Linked DNA regions of Kluyveromyces lactis. The protein of the gene in region 1 interacts with the protein of each later gene in a biochemical or structural test. Links are inferred from orthologs where the notes say so. Each region holds a gene or a part of one and is shown on either strand. Other genes may lie near its edges.

The links. The genes of interacting proteins can lie anywhere in the genome.
Region 2: the proteins of UBI4 (region 1) and MET4 form a complex in vitro, tested with the Saccharomyces cerevisiae proteins (2 studies listed by BioGRID). The link is inferred for Kluyveromyces lactis from reciprocal best matches to the Saccharomyces cerevisiae genes UBI4 and MET4.

Annotation. Positions count from the first base shown.
Region 1 is NC_006041.1:74,448-77,379, reverse strand, and holds UBI4 (ubiquitin), read left to right. Parts: upstream 1-1,286; coding exon 1,287-2,432; downstream 2,433-2,932. Other genes in the region: ECM29 (Ecm29p), read right to left, coding at 2,696-2,932. UniProt on the Saccharomyces cerevisiae protein: Ubiquitin exists either covalently attached to another protein, or free (unanchored).
Region 2 is NC_006039.1:1,125,504-1,129,368, reverse strand, and holds MET4 (Met4p), read right to left. Parts: upstream 2,631-3,865; coding exon 501-2,630; downstream 1-500. Other genes in the region: SNAP receptor VAM3, read left to right, coding at 1-349. UniProt on the Saccharomyces cerevisiae protein: Positive trans-acting factor capable of stimulating the transcription of the MET genes from the methionine biosynthetic pathway. MET4, MET28 and CBF1 are required for full induction of MET25 and MET16 gene transcription.

The DNA of each region.
Region 1 (2,932 bases):
CGCCTACGGCAGCCTACATGCCTATCAGAGAACTTCTTGGACTCCTTACTTAATGAAGTCCCTTTCCTCGGATGCTGAATGGAGAAAGACCATACAGCTCAATATGATGGAAAGTGTCACCTGAGTATACGACAAAGGCGTTAAGAACACCGCTATCATAAAAAGAGTCGAAAAAAAAGTGTCATCTAGGACTATAAGACAAGTAATATCGAAGAGATTCTGGGCAGTCCGAATTATCCCGCCAGGAACCTCAATGACAGAGATATTTGGCCTGGGTATGTTCCGGGAGCATCTGAAAGGTCAAGAATGAATTTAGGAGAAGCCAGGCAGATAAAATATGATGTATGTTACCCTGATTTAATCACGTGGATGACTTCGAGTCACTTTTTTCGTCTGTCTGTATCTTAGATTCTCCCCGCAAGTCTAAAAAAAAAGGATAAACTTCATTGTTCCATGAGTTTCCATGGTTACCTCTGCATATACACACTGTACTGCAGAAGGTATCAGTGGATACAAAGCGGTATGCTCTTTACTCTGAACAATCAAAGTTAGCAGTTCATTCCATATATCCCCGCTCTTCGTCATGCAATCATAAACCTCAAGTCATGGCGATCTGTAAGCCGGAGAAAAGATTCATTGCAAACAGTTAAAGATACAAGGCTGAAATACAGAGATGGCTGCAACGTAACAGATTCCAAACTGCCGGTTTTCCATCGAATTCCCTCTCGGGAAATTTTTCTTTTCAAACGGCCACCTTAGGCCGAGCGAAACTGATTACACTGGATGCTTTTATATAAATAGTGATCACTTGGGCGGCCGCCTTTTTTTCTCTCGTATTTGCCACTTCTGATTGTTCTTTCCCCCGTTTATTCTCTAAATACGTTTATCTTTTTCTAAGATATTATTCGGGTTAGATACTATTACTACCTATATCGCATTCATATATCTATTCTGAAAGTTTGGACAGCATAGCAGCTATCATTATTGTTCTTATTTTCATTTTTTGTGCTATATTCTCCGTTATTAGTAAGAACTGATAGGGAGATAAAATAAAAGAAATAAGCGAACAAGTTCCTTTTTTTTTAAAAAAAAAAGGGAGTATATATAAAAACAAAAGGGTTATTTTGGCAGTTTGTTTCCTGATATTATTAACAACATCATATTGGTTAAGAAGGAGCATCAAGAGTTTCTCTCATAGAAGATACTGACTCAAGGTTATACTATTTCACCCCAAATTATTTACCCCCCCCCCTCTCATTCCCCTTAAAACTAGATCAAGAGAAAACATGCAAATTTTCGTTAAGACTTTAACTGGTAAGACTATCACTTTGGAAGTTGAATCTTCTGACACCATCGATAACGTGAAATCGAAGATTCAAGACAAAGAAGGTATCCCTCCAGACCAACAAAGATTAATTTTTGCAGGTAAGCAGTTGGAAGATGGCAGAACCTTGTCTGACTATAACATCCAAAAGGAATCCACTTTACATCTTGTCTTGAGATTAAGAGGTGGTATGCAAATTTTCGTCAAAACCTTGACTGGTAAGACCATCACTTTGGAAGTCGAATCTTCCGACACCATCGATAACGTCAAGTCTAAGATTCAAGACAAAGAAGGTATCCCTCCAGACCAACAAAGATTAATTTTTGCAGGTAAGCAGTTGGAAGATGGCAGAACCTTGTCCGATTACAACATCCAAAAAGAATCCACTTTGCATCTTGTTTTGAGATTAAGAGGTGGTATGCAAATTTTCGTCAAAACCTTAACCGGTAAGACCATCACTTTGGAAGTCGAATCTTCCGACACCATCGATAACGTCAAGTCTAAGATTCAAGACAAAGAAGGTATCCCTCCAGACCAACAAAGATTAATTTTTGCAGGTAAGCAGTTGGAAGATGGCAGAACCTTGTCCGATTACAACATCCAAAAAGAATCCACTTTGCATCTTGTTTTGAGATTAAGAGGTGGTATGCAAATTTTCGTCAAAACCTTAACCGGTAAGACCATCACTTTGGAAGTCGAATCTTCCGACACCATCGATAACGTCAAGTCTAAGATTCAAGACAAAGAAGGTATCCCTCCAGACCAACAAAGATTAATTTTTGCAGGTAAGCAGTTGGAAGATGGCAGAACCTTGTCTGACTATAACATCCAAAAGGAATCCACTTTACATCTTGTCTTGAGATTAAGAGGTGGTATGCAAATTTTCGTCAAAACCTTGACTGGTAAGACCATCACTTTGGAAGTCGAATCTTCCGACACCATCGATAACGTCAAGTCTAAGATTCAAGACAAAGAAGGTATTCCTCCAGACCAACAAAGATTAATTTTTGCAGGTAAGCAGTTGGAAGATGGCAGAACCTTGTCTGACTATAACATCCAAAAGGAATCCACTTTACATCTTGTCTTGAGATTAAGAGGTGGCATCTAATGGTAAAGATTTATTTCATATTTCCGATTACTGGAGTGAAACTCGATAGGGAGTTTATTAACGAGCTTGAGACCACGCAAAGCCGTTGTATCATTTATACTCAATTCAATTTTTTTTTTTTTTGCATTTTTTTTTTTTCCTTACATTCTTTGGATAAAAAGTTTAGGGTCTTGTATATATTATATACATTTTCAGAGATACATAACAACTATGATAATGTTATAAATAGTAGAAGATAGTAATATATCATCCGTTGGCAATTTCTACTGAGATATTCCAATATTTAAAGCTTCAGCTTTCAATACTGAGGAGTCATCCACTCTAAGAATCTCCAAAATGCCAAAGTCGACCATGGTATTGGTGTGGGGGAACTTTTCTTTCAATAGCCCACCATACCTTATCAGCTTTATCTTGACACTTTCAATAACTTCTTTCTTGTTGCATAGAGCGTGGCCATATTTCCAGATATCAATGAAAATGTGAGATACATCATTTGAGGA
Region 2 (3,865 bases), on another chromosome or scaffold:
TCCGTTACTTTTGTCTACCCAACAGCAAGAGCCTTTGTTGAATCAGGATGAGTTAGATTTTCACACGATAATTCAACATGAAAGATCCCAGGACATATCAAAAATCCACTCTGCTGTGCAAGAGGTCAATGCCATCTTCAAACAACTAGGAAGTCTGGTACAGGAACAGGGCGAACAAGTTGACACAATTGGCGAAAATGTGACAGGATTATCTAATAATTTGCAAAAGGCGAACAAAGAACTTCACAAAGCAAATGAATATCAAAGGAAAAAGAACAGATGTGGTACAATACTTCTAGTAGCTATTGTTGTTATCACTCTAATAACTCTTATCGCGATTCTATCATAGGGTTAGATTCTACGAGGAATGTAACTATATATTAATACAAAATTTATCTCTGGCCTTATACTTGGATGAAAGTTACGTTACGTTTTAGAGAACACGCATCATCAGGTAAATATGTCCGACTTAGAGGTTACAACTAATTATTAATCATAGCTTACTTGTCAGTATCCTTTTTAGTGCTTTCGGAGGAGTTATTTTTGGATAGTTCATAAGACTCAACATTCTTGAGATCTCCACGTTCAATGACAAGATTTTTGAGAAGTCTGTTTTCCATTTCAAGGGTATTGATTCTTTGCTTCAAGTCACAAGCTAACTGTGAAAGATCTTGGACCCAAGTTTCCATTTCTTTCTCTTTAAGTTTTTTAGTTTGATCCAAGTTCGGCAGTTTGGGTCTTGAAGAAAGGGTTGAGGAAGTGGACGACGATTCTACACCATCACTGGAGGAATTGTTTTTATCAGAATCAGTATTATGCTTTTTTTCGTTTATCTTCTCATCGAGACTCTTAGCAGCATTTTCCTTGTCATTGAGAAGTTCTTCCGATTGTCTCACCTCTTCCTTCAATTTAGCAGACGTTACATCCTTCCTAAGAGAGGAAGCTGATTCTAGTTTCCTGACAACTGATTTTGGTGTTTTACTGATACCATCATCCAGTGTTTGCTTTGCAGAATTCTCTTCGCTTTCTTTCTTTATGTTGTTAGAAATTGAGCCGTGGTGCACTTTCGGTGAGTTTTTCATATATGTATCAATAACTCTAGACTCTTTTTCCACTGGAGTTTTTTTGGCTCTTTTTGGATTAGGTTTATGGACACTTGATTGAGGAGATGGCTCAGGTTTTTCATGCAAAAAATCCAATAGCATGCCAACGGAGCTTTGAATATGTTCTTGAGGTTCAGGAACCAGTTGATTTTGCGAATTCACATCTATCGATGAGCCCAGATGGGAAGCTGACGATGGTGGTCTATTTGTAGAGTGATTATTTAAATTAGTTGGCTTCCTCACAGGAGGATCAAACTTTTCTCTTTCTCTTTCATAATAAGCCATAATAGCAGCTATGGCGTCAATCTGTTCTGGTTTAAAGCCAACATTACGCAAAGACTGGTAAGCACCTCTGGGAACATTAATGATAGGCAACAATGATACCAAAGTCGCAGTTTGTATTGTAGAGTAGTCTGGCATCTGTATATTTGATTCAAATCCTGATGTTGCAGCCGTACTTGGACGATACGGATTTTCGTTGCTATTGACATGATTATTACCATGGTTACTAGCTGTGTTGACGATTGAAGAGGCAGACGATACAGTGGTATTGGACGGATATGACATTGAAGTTAAATCATATGCGGCTAATAAATTTGTTAGTGGGGAAGTGGCAAACGGCATATCTCGTTGGCGGTTTGCACTTGTGCCATTTAGGTTGCCTGTATTATGACTATTGGATTGGTCTTGAACATCAAAGTGTGTAAATCCTCCATGATCGGGGATCGGAGAATTCTGTGTCGATGACCTTTTCCTCGAAAACCGTTGCCGCGTATGATCATACTGGTTTCCCAGCAGGTTTGATTTTCTATCGAACAAGTTTCTCTTTTCCGAAGAGTTTCTGTTATTATTATTATTATTATTATTATTATTATTATTATTGTTATTATTACTATTATGATTGTTACCACTGTTATTATTATTGTTATTGTCGATGTTATTATCATTAGTACTAGGATTAGCATTGTTGTTCAATCCGAAGTTATGGTTGCTGTTGTAATGGTCGCCGTTGTCATCGCTATCATGTCTATCAGCTTTGTCTTCATCTGGGAAAATAAAAGTCTCATCTGCGAAAACACTCAATTCCGCCGCTAAACGTTCATCCATCGCGAGCTGATTATCTGCACTTAAACCACCAACTTGATGATTCAAGGGCATCCCACTAAATGAATTTACAGTGTCACCATGAGGTCCCTCATTGTTGTAAAAAGAATTTGTCACATTGGGTCCAAAGTCAGAGTTAAAATCAGTAATAAAATTATCAACAAACGCTAGTTGTTCCAAAAGAATGCTAGGGGTAACATCATTATTCACATCAGCAGGGGGGTTAATCAACGAATGTAAGTGATTCGATGCGGTAGATGGAGAATGTGTCGAGAATTCCGGACTGTTCCCCCAAATGTTGTCCATACCTTGACTGGGATGACTATCATTAGGATTTCGAATATGATTATCCATATTCCTTGCACCAACACCGCTACTGCTGCTACCAGTGCGCTTAAGATTATTGGAAGTTCCACTATTCATAGCGGAAAGAATGAGAGAAGCCGGCTCGATAAATAAAGATTCACTGTCGTTATTCCCTGGAACTAAGGCTCAAATTTGAATGTGGCCTTTCACTCGATGCTGTTGATATCAACAGTAGACGATGATTGAAAATACTTTAGTTTGTATTATTCTTCAGCTCAGGTCTCGTGCAATTTCATCAAAAGTCGGGAAAAAAATGAGGAAAGGGAAAAGAAGAAGAAAAAAGTAATCACCAAACTGTGGAACGTCTATTACCCGGACAAGAAAATTACCCGGATACAGACATTACATCAGCCACAGTACAAACTGCACGTGATACGAAGCACGTGATTTGTGTTCCCTCGTGTTGTTCGCTTTTTTCTTTTCTTGCTTTCCTCCGGTTTCTGCGATCACCCGCGGAAAAATGTTTATTTATCCATCAGTATTAGTGCCTACATTCTCATTTCTCGAGTCAGTAAGCAACCCCGCATTTTATTGCTGGAGTGTTACCGCGTAGATGCTCTCACACAGATAGAAAAGCTCGCTGATCTAAAGAATGATTATACATATCGTAAAGAGAAAAAACAGCACACTAGTGACAGTTTGAAAATCCAGCACAGCAAGTAAACACTCATCCGATGCTCTCCCTATACCTGATCTTTCAGTACTAATGCCGACCGCCGGTTGCCGATCGCCGTTTGATTATTGTGTTTTGCTTGAGGTCGTTACCTGCGTTTGCCAAGTCTTTTTCTTCCTTCAAGATAAGGAGCTTGTAATCTAATCTTCAGAGATGAAAATCTGATAGATAGCGTAAACTAGGGAATCGACAAGACCCCATCGCAAATTATCGAGGACAAGAACAGGAGGTGCGATAAATATCTCCCGACTGACCTATGCATATCAAAAAAACTTTCTTGTCTCCTACCAGTTTGCTCTTACTGTTTCGTGAAATACGGATTAAAGTTTCCTTTTCCATGTTTCTTTTCCATTTTCCTGTGCTTTTCTTTTTTTTACAAAAAACTGGAAAGGAAAAATGAAAAAGAAACATAGTGAGGGTAAATACGGGTTGGTACGGGAAAAGAGCAGCAGAGACACAATTCTATTAGCAGGATAAAACGGCTACGATATTGCGGCTAGTAAAACACAATTTGATCATCTGTGTAAGTAAGAGCTATTGCTCCTTGCATAGATTACCTTGTTGCTCTATCTCCGTTCCTTCCTATCACCTGAGAATTTCCCTCCGTAGTTTTCTCGGT